Drosophila melanogaster: one gene and its partner. The protein of the gene in region 2 purifies or fractionates together with the protein of the main gene of each other region. This does not show direct contact. Each region holds a gene or a part of one and is shown on either strand. Other genes may lie near its edges.

What was found.
Region 1: the proteins of Rbsn-5 (region 2) and Past1 purify together in Drosophila melanogaster (affinity purification with western blotting, with the first as the bait; one study listed by BioGRID). This does not show direct contact.

The regions. Positions count from the first base shown.
Region 1 is NT_033777.3:12,694,540-12,703,703, reverse strand, and holds the start of Past1 (putative achaete scute target 1), read right to left. Parts: upstream 6,383-9,164; 5' UTR 6,192-6,382; coding exon 6,166-6,191; intron 5,874-6,165; exon of another isoform or gene 5,594-5,873; coding exon of another isoform or gene 5,586-5,593; coding exon 4,369-5,585; intron 66-4,368; coding exon 1-65. Other genes in the region: NijC (ninjurin C), read right to left, coding at 6,777-6,980, 7,405-7,581, 8,298-8,333; CG14391 (uncharacterized protein), read left to right, coding at 8,957-9,164.
Region 2 is NT_033779.5:8,157,097-8,162,978, reverse strand, and holds Rbsn-5 (Rabenosyn-5), read right to left. Parts: upstream 3,148-5,882; 5' UTR 2,888-3,147; coding exon 2,221-2,887; intron 2,163-2,220; coding exon 1,552-2,162; intron 1,487-1,551; coding exon 1,247-1,486; 3' UTR 1,179-1,246; downstream 1-1,178. Other genes in the region: Acbp1 (Acyl-CoA binding protein 1), read left to right, coding at 654-668, 742-856, 916-1,058; CG43394 (uncharacterized protein), read right to left, coding at 4,268-4,735, 4,800-4,962, 5,031-5,442, 5,723-5,882; PAPLA1 (phosphatidic acid phospholipase A1), read left to right, coding at 3,547-3,760.

The DNA of each region.
Region 1 (9,164 bases), on a different chromosome or scaffold from region 2:
GCCCTCGCCCTTCATGTAGCCGAATGGTGAGACATGGTCGTCGATGACTCCCTCGAAGGCACCACCTGTGGAAGAGGCGATGAATGGATGGAGAGGTCAGTGTGGCATTCGATACTCTGTGTGCGCCATAAATTTGCATTAATTAAGCATGTAATCTAAGTTGATCGGTGCGTCGCCGTGCACAAACATTCAATTTGAGGCAATTAAAACCTTTAGATCGCTCTGGCTCCAATTGACGTCGCCGCCGCCGTTCCGTGACTAGGCCGGCTGACCGACTTAAGCATGTACTTTGCCGGCTACTTTAACTGGGCAATTGTGGTGCAGTGCATTCTGGGGGGGGGCAATTGAGATGGGCGGTGCAGGTTGTAAAGTGCGATCTCAATTAACTTTTTGAAGTTGCTCAATTCGTTTGCGGTCTCTTTGCAATTGAAAAGGGCCCTCCGGGTGGCATGGCTTGGAGATCATTGAGTTCCCATTCCATTATTCTAAGTAAATCAATACTGTATATTCAATCGGTGCCACTGACTTATGGAATCAACTACTGTGCGTGTTGCTTACGGCCATATCAGTCCCTGTCCCCGTCTCCGGCTCCGCCTCATTTTCAACTTCAGGATCAGGATCTGGTTTGGTTTCTAACTCGAAGTCAGAGCCAGACTCATGCTCCAGCTCTGCCTGAGGCATAGATTGCGTTTCTGGACCGGGATCGGCATCCTTATCGCTCTCGACATTGCCCACCCGACTAGTGCAACTGCTGAACAGGCGGAGCTGCTGCTGGCGCAGATTCTGCAGCCAGCGATCGAAGCGCTCCGCGAACTGCTCCCGTTGCGAGCCGGGTGTCAGAAGAGCTGGCTCGTCGGCCACATCGAAATCGTCGTCGGAGTCCACTTGGGTATGCAAGAAATAGAGAGAAAGATGGTTGACAGTGGAGCATAGCACAACTGCTAAGTGCGGCAGTGCGACTCGGACGTGGAAATCAAACCGAGTTTAATTAGTGGGCCAATGGCGAAAACGAAAAGTACGAAGAACCAAAAGAACGGCGAACAGAAGAACTGATTTCTGCAAGATCGTGTCAGATATGTGTACAACTATTTAGCGACATACTGCTAAACATGTGATGCCGATCCCCATATTCAAGATGTGCTGGTGATGAAGTGATGGTGACGGTGGAGGCAGTGACTCAAGGCACGGTCCACATAAGTTCCATTTCGAATGGAGTGTCAATTCCATTGTCAAATCAACCGAAACTATGAAGACATCACTACCCAAAGCACTTATCTTGCTGGCTGAGCTAGCCAAGTCAATTATCCAAGACAATACAACGGAAATGCTAGCAAATGAAAGCAAACTGTGCAGCGAACGCAACGAAAATAAAATCAGAGATACAGATACAGATACATACACTCATTCACTCACTCACTCGCCCATGCACTAAATTAGAGCCCCAAGTTCTTGACTTTGATTTCGATTCGGTTCGCTTTATCAACGCATTCCGCCTCTCTTTTTCAGGGGTACAACCATCGAAATTCCTTCTGGTGTAATAATAAACGAGAAGTTCATTCACTTGTCGGGTCCAATTTAAAAGGAGGGGGCTATCGAATTTTACCCAAATCGAATGTCGAGGTGACCGAGACTGCGGATGGATGACACATGCGTTGAGATATTGATCTCCCACCCATGACATCAGTCGATCGCCAATCGTATTATGCTTGGATTTGCCCCAGCGAAACGTATTTGCTCGGCTATGTGGAATACTTTCGCACAAGGTCAGGCCAAAATACGCTAATAGTTGAATTAAAAGGCCACTCAAGTGGTCAGCAAACCAAAAGGCAAACAGTAGAGATCAGACAATAGCATTGTGGCGACTGGATTGCCACCGAGCCGTATATCATAGAGTAAAATGCTTTCTTCCTGCACTTAGCGCTAGTTCATCTGAATTCCGTGGGCCCCTTCGTGGAATTCACGAGCGGATTAGACGGAGGATGAGCCACTTAGTGCCACACGCCCCAAGTCACAATCGGAGAGCATCAAATTGATACGCGGCCTCAGGTTGCCAACGCCAGCAATACATGTACTCGTATGCGACTGCAACCGGTTCGGTTTACAGATCATATATACGTACATATGTATATAATCGCCAGAGGTGGGTTGTGGCGATGGGTTGACCAGGGATCGTCTGGGCGAACTGGGCGTGGGGATTATTCTGGGTGCTGTTTGATCAGCTGGACGACAATCTCTCCTCCTCGGAGGCAGCACATATTGGAATGTATATATACATATGTATATTTACTATTCCAATTCTAAGTTGCCTGGCATATTGGAAGATAATTATTTTCGTTCTCCTTGTCTGGCGGCTTTGTATACTGAATTAATCCAATCACACGCCTTTCCGTTGTAGTTTTATAGTGTTTCATTGGGCACAACACCATTAGCTGGCATGATAAGGAGCATTGATAAATGGCAAGAGAATGCTGACAGTGCCTTCTACTCGCACGATAAAAAAAGGTTTGTGCATGCAAAACGGATGATTACATAAATGAGCAATCAAATTAGTTACTGGCTTTCCATATAAGTTGCTTGCTCAGCAAGCAATGATCCCTAAAGCTGAATATAATTACAAGTTTTACGGTGGACAACCTTTGAGCCCCTCATAATATACATATGCACTAGTTCTGATAATTTCGGCTTTTATTGTTTGAAATATGCCAAAAATTGCACGGCCAGTAGCCGCAACTTGTTGCCTAATTACGCTAAACAGCGTAAGAGCAGATAAACAAACTAAATGAGCATACTTGATGCTTGAAATTAGAGCAGTGCTAGTAGAGGAACATGCCCAGACTTTTGTCGACTGATAAGACATGATTTGATGATGGCATGCTGACTCGGCCTTACATTGATTTTTATCTAGGGTAACGTGCAGTACGGCCAACTAGAAGTTGCCTAGCAACCCGATAAGGGTTGACAAACAGGCCACTTTGGCTCGACCCACTAACGAATGCATGGGGGAAAGCGAACAGGTGCGCGGCACTGGGCCTTGAACTCTGGGCCACGCACGAAGGTCGGAGGTCACAGTAACAGGGCGAACCGGTGGAGCAGCCAGCTTGCATCGAATCGAATTAGACTTTCAATTAGGGTTTACTTTTTTCCGACTGCAATGCGACTGGCGCCTCTAGACTCTGATTAACTGAGTTACTACTACCACCTCCTACTGCTCCTCCTCGAATGCTCAACGCTTAAATGCGATTATATTGCTGGGCGTTTTGGCTCGGCATCGAGTGCGTGGTATTCGTCATGGTTGCCTGGATGCGTCTGCTCCGGAGAGCCAGATCCGATTCAGCCTGGGTACTCGAGTGTGAAATATTTATCATGCCCAACTGTACGCCTGCTATTATTTTCTTTTTTCCCCTCTCTGATGACTCATGGCCCAATTAGAACGAACCCTGCACTGCTCCAAGCTATCGGTATTTTCCAATGATTACATCATGGCCACGAATCTTATCACGTTGCGGGGAGAAAACAGTCAACTTGGCTGAGTTCCTACCCATGACGAAAGCAAGCCGATAATTATTGACACATATGAATAGTAAAATTTTTCGGTTTGCCACGCCCCAGCCCGCCACTGGCGCCCATTTTTCAAGTACAAAGCAATTGGCTATCACATTTTGGGTAGCAGAGTATTTGCAAGAGATAGGAAAGAAAATACGTGGTTTTGTGGCGCTATTTTCTTCCACCTCGATGTTGAGTTTGCCACAGAAAGTGCGTTTGTGTGGCTGGCCTAAGCGCTAAATTGACACCGACTTTTTGCTCGCTCGTCTTATCAGTTTTCGGTGCTTATCACTTTGTTTATATAGTAGCTCAAATATGTTTCGCTCATAGTATAGGGTTTATATATAGTCGTTGCCAGGCATTGCATAATTGGCCAGTCAGCGAAAAGAGGAAGCTGTGCATGCGGGCCAAAGAAAAGCTTCGATTTTTGGATCGCTCCCACTGGCTTTGTTTTTCGCTGGCAATTTGAATTGTGATTGTAATTGTATATCCATTAAATACGTTTGGCTGCGGTCTAGCTGTAGCTGTGGCTCATACTTTGGCCGTATCCGAAGCCAAGCCGCTCACTCCGCTTGGCAAAACTCGTTTTTTTCGCATTTTGGCCCGTCTGGAAATCTGGGTTAACTGGCGCATTTTTCTAGCTGCGCATGCGCAATATTTCGGTGCGATGGGAAAGCGAAAACGCGCCAGTGAAATGCCCGCGGAAAACCAAGAGATTTCTCGAGATCTTCGCGGGCACGAGTCGGATGTCTGGTTGCCCGAGCAAGTGCAGTGTGACTAATGCGGCAAAGCGGTGCTTAATCATTCACTCTCTTGGGGACTTACCCTTGACGATTGGGTCCGCGACCATGGTCATCTCCTCCTGGGGAATCATCTCCATCAGGCGGGCAATGTCCTTGGCCAGCATGTTGTCCACGATGTCCAGCAGATGGGGCTTGAGGGAGTGGAACTTGGTGAAGTCCTGGTGCTGCAGGACCTCCTGCATCTTCTTGATGTCGGGGAAGTCGCCGGGAGAAATGGAGTGCTCGCGCTGGATGCGATCGTATACCTGGCCGAGGTTCTTAATCAAGTCCTTCTTCTTGCTGTCCTTGCCGAACACAGAGGGCATGTCCTTGCGCAGCTCGGCAATGATGAAGGCATGCACCTTGGCCAGGCGCGCCCGCTTGATCAGATCGTTCAGCTTGCGCAGGGCGGCGTTACGCGGCAGGGACTGCAGATCCCTGAACAGATCCTGTTCCTCGTCCTCGAACAGTCGGCGGTTGGCGTCGAAGCGCAGCGGCTGGTCCCAGAAGGAGCCGATGTAGACACGAGCCACCTCCGGCGTCTGCAGCACCTTGCCCAGCGACCACATCAGTGCTCCGTACACCCGCATTAACTGTTGGTGATCAATCATGTCGGCCTTGTTCAGGATAATACGGATCTTGTCGTCGTGTCCCTTGAGCGCCTCGATCGAGCGCCGGAACTCGTCGGAGATGTCCAGTTTGTGGGCGTCGAAGAGCAGGATGATGCGGTCCACGCGCTCCGCGAACCACTCCAGCACGCCGGTGAAGTCGTAGCCCCTGTCGATGCGCTGCTTTTCGCCGGAGAGAATTCCGGGCGTGTCCACGATGGAGATGGCGTTCAGCACCGGCGAGGCCACACTGCTGCATTGGAAGCGATTCAGGAAGGCGTTGCCGTACTTGGACAGCGGCCGGAACTGCTTCTTGGGGTCCACAACCAGGGCGTTGCCCGGTATCACGCCCTCCTTGTCGTCGTACATCACGGCGATGAAGCGGTCCGTCGTTGGCTCCGGACCAATTCTAATGCCCGGAAAGTCGCGTTCCAGCAGATAGCGGATGAAGGTCGTCTTGCCCGTGGAGTACTGGCCCACCAGCAGGATCATGGGCTTCGCATCGAAGTCTGGATCCTCGAGCTTTGGCGAGTGAAAGTCGTGGAACTGGTAGTGCTCCTCCAGCGGCAGCAACTTGCTCCGATAGATCTTCTTCAGCTCGCCGATCACATTCTCCACTACCTCCTGGGTGTTCTTCTCGCGCTTCAGAAAGCTAAACATGTCGCAAGACTCTAATATTAGCCACCGAAATTAAAGGGGAAATTGGATTTGGAAACGGGGGACGCGGCCGGATTCGGGTTGGTGCTGGCGCGGATGTCACGGAGGCGACGACTACGGCAGTTATGTTATGTGTCTACACTCGATTGTCGCGCTGCGCTGGGTCGTGTGGCGAGTGATTCACGCGCGTACGTATACGTATTATTTTTGGAATACGACTTTTTTCGGTCCAGATAGCGGACCAATCAACGTGACCACGCCAGAGACAACGAAGAAATACCACAGAGTCTTCGGATAAATACTGCAATATACCAAGAGCGTCAAAGAAATACCAGCCCGTCAACGGCCTTAATTTAAACTAATTAATCTAATTTTGAAATTATACTCATATTTATCGTAACTAACTAACTATTATTCCTGTACTATATTTTTCGCTTTAAAACAAATTGTCATTGACAATGAACATAAATAATCGGCGCCTATCGATAACGGTCCACATTTGCGCGGCGGTCACACTTTTCTTGCAAGCGCGAACTTATATCGAATTCAAATTGTGTAAATATAGGATTGCTCACCTGTCGCCTGCTTCTGGGCGTGGCATCTTGATTTATTAGTAAGCAAATAAAACGTTAAATTTACGGGCCTTCCAAAATATATGCAACAAACAACTGTTAAAAAGCACTAATCTTTTGTTTCTGTGATTTTACACTAAAACGCGGCTAGCATTATCACTTAATAGAAATTTGCTTTTTTTTTGGTAAAAATTTATATATACAATGTGGCAAGCAAGTGTATTTAAAACACTGAGCCTACGTCGTTCATCAAAATTTAACCTCAGCTGTGATTTCAAAAATTCAGGGCTTCAGAAGTTCCACATCTGTGTGAGGAACCGCCGGATCCAGTCCAAAATTCATCTTCATGATGTCACAAAACACGGACAGGAATATGAAGGCATCTATGAAGTGGTTGATGGCGAAGCCCCGATTTCGATCCTTGGTATTATGCATATTGATGAGGGACTGAATGACCAGCAAGAGTCCAGCAGCCACCTGTTTGCGAAGGTAAGAGAAAATGCAATGCCTTGGTATCAATACATTCATTTATTTCCCTCTACAACTTAGGTTTGCATTAGCCTTAAAGTACATATTTGTATGAATATAAGTGTAAATCGTTGGATCTCTAGATTTTACGGTGTCTTTTCGTGCTGATCGAGAAGTCGGAGCGGCTGCGATGAGTACTCTATGCCGAAACCGGATATGATAACGTTCACCACGGATATTATGAACACGACTACCAAAATGACATCGTTCAGGATGACCGCTGCCGTCTGATCCTGCTGCCTGTTTATGTTGAGACTCCCGATGACCACGAACAGAATGCCCACCAAAAGCTGTCAAAATGGGGAATGAGGAATGCATTAGAAACGGAAGCGTACAATCCCTACCATGCCCACCCTCTAGTCCTAGTTGTTTAGAAAGTCGCCCTGTGGCGGAGGCAATCGACTGTCAAAGGCCGAGATGAACAGATTGATCATGGTCGTGAAGAAGGCGAAGCCCGTGCGCACATGGTTAATGATATTGGCCGACTGATGAAACTCCGGCTGATGCAGCCGGCAATCCCGCAGCAGGCTCAGGGACAGGCTCAGCACGCCCGACAGGACCTGCACAGAGAAAAACATAACTATCAGTTCCATATTGTCATTTGGATCTAGCCAAGTTTTTCCGAGTGTGATGGATTTCATTAGGATACACATTTATGTTTTTCTCTGTGCCTGACACTTAGAGAATAAGAATCTACAGTGATTATATACTCACCTGCATGACTATGGACAGACTGATCAGGATCAGCATCAGCTTGTAGAACTGGTGCTGTTCGCCCACCTGGAGGATGTACTTCAGCTGCGAGGCATTGGCGGTCAGCAGGGCGATGTCCAGCATGCCCTGGGCGATCGTCTTCTTGGTGGCATACCTATTGGCATCCATTGCCTTCATCTAAAATATAGGGTATATATGTACATATATGAGTATTTGAATTCAGGATATAAAGTCTGCAGAACCGAAAGATACATTTTCGAGGAAAGTGGTCATGATGGCGCTGCAACAGTCACTTTAAAAGTGAATGAATCTTAAAGATCGCTTTCAAAGTAATTCCTTATCTATTGCCATTTGTGTCAGATCTTGTGCCGATAAGAAAACAGAACATCGCAGCTCCGAGTAATGAAAAATAGGCTAACATTCAGGGCAAGGGTTACAAACACAAATGTGCATAGTAAATAAAAAGCATACATCATTGAAAACTAACCTGCCAAGCATTTTTTACTGGTTTCTGTGGGGAAACAAAGGATTCAGCCATACTGCAAGGATAATTACCACAAAAGGATGCAATTCCCATAACAATTACAAAATCAATATGAGAACAAATGCTTTTCGCACAGCTCATCGCAGTTTAAAAGTGCATAAGGCCAACGAGTCGGATATACAACATTTTTGAATTGCACGAACAGTTGGAACAAAGACAATAATTACCCGGACTGGCAATTACGGATGGAATGGAAATGGGGATGTGGACACGATGGTGTGTCTCATTCGCTCGAACAAATAAATAATTCAAGACCAGGAATATATGGCTAAGATCAAGGTCGGTGGGTGCTCGGAATGTGAATACATTGGAATATCTTCAGATATGAGATATTTGTATTTTGACTTACCTCATTTTCGTTAACCCGCTGCAAACCTGATGCCATAATGAATGAATCTTTGGTTTTTCGGTTTTGCTTTCGGTTGGAGCTTTGTTTTTCGCCACACACCACTGCACTTTGGATCAGTTTTTGTGTCAGTCAAAAGAACTCACAACAACATTCAATTCAAGTTGTTTCGGTTTTCATTGTCTCCTGAAATTGGCAACTAATTGTTTGTGCTTGGAGCGGCGTTGTCGTGGCGACGGTTGCCGACACAACCAAGCGATTTAACAACTGGCGGAGAACTGAATTCAGAAATCCCGTCCAGAGAGCACTACCCGATTCGAATGATTCGGCCATTCAGTATACTTGGCCAGAAAGAGAGTGCTACAAGCTGGAAAGAGTGTTTTTGAGTAGCCATGACTAATGGCAGTGGTTTGAAAATGTATTGATTTCATTCAGCATGTTCTATATGGCTCATATATCCTTTGGTAGAAAGACCAGTTCTTACCTTTAATTTATGTCTTTGATGATATTTTGAGTTTATTTTATTTATATTTCTTATTTTGGTTTGCATCACAGTGAGCTGAGTCTCTCACAACAGTACAATTTACACACAGCTTTAGTTAGGAGTTTTAAAAAAGAAATTTAAATATATTTCGTTGAAAGATTTATAAAAAAAAAGAACCATGGAATTTGCCATACCAGAGGCTCAGTACTGGGACGTTTCGAAGAAATCCCAAAAAGATCGTCAGATGATTCGTAAATTCGTGCCCGAGGCGGTCGACCTGGCCACCATAAGTCGTGCAGAGATCTACAGGATTGACACATTCTATTTGGAGTGCCAAAAGTACCGGGATCACTATCGTGACCCCTACGGCAAGGTCCACTGTCCGG
Region 2 (5,882 bases):
ATGTATTGATGATGTCTAATATGGCCACATATGCTAGAAATCAATTGTATTTTGTGTATTTAAGAAGTAGTTATATATTAAATTTCCTCTTAATATTGATACATTTTAATTACTATGTACAACTGTTCAAAACGTTGACGTACAGCACATCATTACTCCATATGTTACTAATAGAAATCATGTTTCACGCGCCATAAGCCTCTCATTTTTGTTGCCACATTTGGAGAGAGCAGGACAGTGGGCTGAAAGATGTTCAATTGAGACAATCAACATTGGAAGGTTTTTAAAATATTTCGTTAATGTCTTGAAAATCTTAACGGACTATTTTGGATATTGTTCATATTATTCCATAGCTTTTTTCAAAACACAATTGTTTTGGCAAGAAACTGTCTACCAACTGTTACACATGTTCCTAACTATCATCGTAATAATGTATCTCAGTTCTCAATATGAAATTAGACTTCGAATCTTTTAAGTGTATAGGCTGCCAGACCCGCGAAATAAAACGCAACAGCTTGTCCACTCTAAATTGAAAAACTGTTGGTCACACAAAAGTATAGACCAGATATCGATAGACGCCGATAGATTCGGTGAAGTAAAATCGTGCAATTTCTTTTCCAAAGACTTCCACTAGTTAAAAAATAGATACAAAAATGTCCGAATTGCAGGTGAACTGAATCTACGTCAAATACGCATTCGTATCTTAAAGTCTGATTACCTATTCAAACTTAACCTAAACAGGAATTCAACCAGGCGGCCGAAGATGTTAAGAACCTAAACACCACACCCGGGGACAATGACCTTTTGGAGCTCTACAGCTTGTACAAACAGGCCACTGTGGGGGATTGCAATACAGGTGGGTCTCGGACATAGTCGTCACTCCGCTGCACCATCGATAATTCTAATCCAATGCAGATAAGCCCGGCTTTCTGGACTTCAAGGGCAAGGCCAAGTGGGAGGCGTGGAACAACCGCAAGGGAATGAGCAATACCGACGCCCAGGCCGCCTACATTACCAAGGTCAAGGCACTGATCGCTGCCGTTGGCCTGAAGTCATAGACTCAATCGAAATAGGATGTTGCATTTTATAGTCTCAGTTGTCGTCAAACGCACAAACTTTGATTTACAGAAACTTCGCACAAACTAAAATTTTTCGCACAATATACACCACAAATTCGTAACGTAACGTAAGCCATGTAATTTGTCATAGAGGGAATGAATATACATTTAACTATGTAGGATACTGCTTAGGCCTCTGTGGGTGAGGCGGCGGTGCTTCCCTGGGACTGGCGCTGTCGCTCGTACACTTCGCGCTGTAGCTCGCGAAGATTTAGCTCCAGCGTCTCCACCACCTCAAAGTTCATGTCCTGGCGAGCCTGTTTGATGTAGCCCTTAATGATGTTTATCTGCTCGATCAGCGGATCGTCCAGGCTGGACTTGCTAGCCGCCTGCGGTGCTGACCAGTTGTTCAGAGATTGAAGATCAGACTGTGAAGCAAATGGAATCACAGAGGTTACATATTGATCTTTGCAGAGAGTCCTCGTCTACATACCCCTTGGGCAAAGGATCCGCTTTCCGGACCAGGAACTCCAACGTTGGATTGGTTAGCTGCCATGTTATTTCGTTCGTAGGCTTCCATGGCCATGCGCTGTTCGGTGAGGATACGCTGCTCCGTTTCCATGCGTCTACGCTCCTGCATCTGGCGTATGTGCGATTCCTCTGGCAGTGGGGGCAGCGATAACATTCGCTCCTTGATGGCTTGGATGCAGCCCAACCGAATGGCCTTCTTTAATGCCTCCTCCCGGCTGCCTGGTTCACAAAATATGGCTAGAATGCGCTTGCTCCTCATGTCCATGGCCTCTGCCACTTGTCCAATCTTGCCGCGCAAAGCACCTGCATCCGCCAACGTGAAGATTGTGTCCCCTTCGTTCAAGCTATTGATGATCTTTAGATACATGTCCAGATCCGGGGTAACTTCTTTTTGTAGTTGACGAATTTGTTCGTAGACCTGGACGAGGAGTGGGCGACAAGTGCGACTTTCGTGCATATCCTTTCGGGTGTCCAGCAGCCAAAGGCAGTGTTCGCACAGCCGGATGGCGTTCTCATGCTGATGCAGCTGCTGAAGGGGCTCGCTTCTTGTGGTGGAAAGACTGGCTAGTTGCACTGCGGGATTATAATCAAATAAGTTACATTATTTTCCTCAATTATTGGATCTACAAACTGGCATCTTCCAGGGGCAGGAACTTGGAGCAATCATTGCACATTATGCCTCCGCACAAACGGCAGTGGTGTTGTCTTCGGGCGATGTGGAAACTCTTGGCACAACTGGGACACAACTTGACGGAACTACCATCCAGCCAGGCAACTGTTTGCTGTTCATGCTGACGCCGCTGCACTGAATCCGCTGGCAGATCCTTAAGCAGGCGGTGCAAACGAATGATTAGTTTGTTTGTTTCGCTGGCATATCGCTCCAGGCGAGGATTGCGAATGGACTGAAAGTACTCGAAGTGGGAGCACTCAGCACCAGGCTGCTGCCTGGCCATATAGTTAAATACATTTAGACGGGAGCGGGCATTACTGGGTCCATTGCGATCTCCGTTGCCATTGGGATTCTTGCCAGCCGCTGAAGAGGAGGAACCTGCGGGCGACGATACAGATGCACCTTTTTCATCCTCAAAGGGGTTTAGGATCTTCTTTTTCGCCTTGGTAAAGATATCTTTAAAGGATTTTAGGGCATCCTCCTCTTCCGCATGCTGGCGGGCAAAATGATCCGTGAGCACATCGATGGACTTGAGATCCGCACGGCAAATGGGACATAGGAAGCCCTCTAGTATCTCTCCACTGGCCGAGCTTTGATCTTCGTCGCTGTCGAAAGGATTTCCAGACATTCCGGCGATGAGTAATCGTAGTTAATTCGGTGGGTGTTATTTGTTGTGGTCTCCTCCCCAAAAAAAATTGACCCTAAGGTTTTCCACTTGTTTTAAAACAGTGGCATGACGGGGCTTACGGCACTTGTAGTCCTAAACTCGATTAATACGGTCAGAGTTTCTACAAATCCATTAATTTTATTTAAAAACTAATATTTGCAGAAATCATCAAGATTTATCTACTTCACTCTTCTTCTTCCCAAATTGCAATTCGAAATAATATCCGAGAATTAGGGCTGCAGCAAAAGCAATATTTGGCTATTTTTGCTGTTTATTTGGATTTTTGAAAATTTGTTTATGGTAGTCACGGAGATTTCATACTCTTTCCCAGTTAAAACTAGCTAGGAATATATATGTTATAAGCATATTTTGATTACCAGCTTTTGCCTATCCATTTCTGGATCCGCTGCAGCCCTGGTAAAAGCTTTCCATGGCGAATGGCCAATGCGCGGAAAGAAGCAGAATATTGCCTGCCTGGAAGTTTTCTCGGGTTTAACGCTTTTAATCCGTCGTGGGTGTCAATATCCTGTGTATAAAAATAATTCCTAAGGCAACTGTGCACTTGGCACACATCTTCATATCGAGTTAGCCCAATTTAAAGCTCCAGATCGGCCGCTAATATGTCGGAAAGATCGAAAGGTGACGTGTCCGCTCGCGTAAACAACAACGCAAACCAGACGCGTGTCGTTAAAAATCCGCTTCTGAGCGCCTCCGTGACCGGCCTGAGTTTCGACGACTTCCCCAACAAGCCGCAGCTCCTGCCAGCCGCCCCGCCCGTGGTCCATGCCACGCCTCCAGCGGCGCCCGTCCTCATCGCTGGCATCTTGAATCGCGGTAAGTGGGTCACCGTACGTTCGTGAATCTAACGCGGAGTGGGGGTCACCTGTTGCTCGGCTGCTATAATGATAAGCTGATAAGCCTGGCAAGGCACTTGACCTTCTTACCCTCTTCATAAACTGGGGTTGACTTTATCACGGATCAAGTTAATATAAACTACTTTCAGTGTATAGAGGAATGGGTCAGGTCAGCACTTATTTTGGCTTAAACAAATATGTATACCTACTACTAGCTGAACAAATATATAGATATATTATAATAGTTTTCCTAAATAAGACATTAGTTAAGTCCATTTAATCGTTTGAAATCACCGACATTGTTTATACTACTTTTTTTAAGTTGCACTTCGTTTCAGTAGTTTATGCAGGGACAAACAATTGTATCCTAAATATTTGCATACATTTAGTAAAACGGTGCCATATTGTATATCTGGTACTTCTATGGCATTTTATTAGACTTCGAGACCACATAGGTTCTAACTTGGCACAATAACATAACAACAATCTACTCCATGCTCCTAGTGGAGTGGGATCTATATGTGGGCAGCTCCAGCGTTGTCTTCCTCCGTCTGCAACACCACACAATGCTCCATATGAGGGCTGCAATAAGCAGGATCAGGAGAATGACTCCAAGGCAAATGGCTGCAATGGCGGCCTCGTTCAAATACACATCTCTGACATCGATGGTGAGGCTTCTCTGGTTCCCGGCCGCATCGAAAGCGATGAGTGATACCTTTGGTTCGCAGCAAGAGGCCATGTAGGTTGCCTTCAGGGGCTCTGTGCTACCAGCAGTATAATAGTTTCTGTAGAAAAGACCCTCTGGCGGCGAGGCCTGCAAACGCATCATGCCTGACTGCCAGTCCTGAGCGGTCACATCCACAGTCCAAAAACGTTCACCACAATTCTGGGATTCGGGCGTCAGGTAATCACAGCGGCTGCCAAACTCCCAGGATAGTGTAGGTCCAGTTGAGTCCTGGAAATTATATTTAAACATTTCAATTATGCTTTCATAATCAGGTTATCGGCTGTTCACATACCTGAGCATCTATGCTAGTCACCACTTTAAGATTTACCGCCAGAGTAGATGTTTCGCGACCGTAATTGGTGAAGGTAATCCGGTCTGTGGTGCCCTGAGCTGTGCCAGTGGGCACCAGAACAGTCAGACGCACTGTAGCCGTCTCCTGGGCGCGCAGGCTTAATCTACAAAGGCAGAAGTACGTAAGATATATAATGTGTAAACCAAAGACTTCGCTCTTAAGCGCTCCAACCTGGTAGGATTCAGTTGAACCAAGAAGCGCCGCTCGTCGGTGACTTGAATGGTGGAGTAAACCGTTTCCGTTTTCATGTTGGTGACCTCAAAGAGTAGCGTAGCTGTTTGACCAGCCATCACCAGCAGTTTCGATTCAATGCCCAACTCAATTTTTGTGCCACATCGCTGGAGAAGCATGGCATTTAGGGTGCTTCTCGACTGCCCAGTGCTGGGAGCTAAAAGCGTTTGATTCAGATTAGGAGAACTTTGGATTTCCTGCTCCGAAAAGGTTTCGATTTCGTTCTTCGGGGAGTCCACATCTTCCTCTAGCTTTTCCGTGTCCTTTTCCTTGTCGGGAAACTGAAGTTTGGCTGATTTGGCCTTTGTTTGTCCGGTTTTGTAGTAGCTGTCGATGCGTTTGATGATGTCGCCTGTGAGGGAAATAGAAAACAATTTCTAAATCAATTGCGCACACGTGTTTTTCTTGCCCTATGGAAATGTATCGATGATGGCGTCAACGCTGACGATTCCATCCAAGGTTGAAGCGCGGTTATCAGTAGAGATTCGTATTCATTGGGGCAAACGAAACAGATCACGGGCCCTTATCAGTCCGAAACCCAGTCTCAGAGCATTTAATTAGCTAACGGGGACTCAGTACTGTGTGGCAATCAATACCGCCAGGTTGTTTGTTATTTTGTTACTATAACTCACCCAGAAACACATCCGCTTTTCTTTCGGCGCGAACAAACACATTGTACTTGTCGTGCAGCTCGGGCTGTAACTTCAGTTTGAAAATCGACGCGCGTCGCAGCTTGTTTAGCGGTACGTAGGCATCAAGTTCTTGGTTATTTAACGTTTCCGTGACATTAAC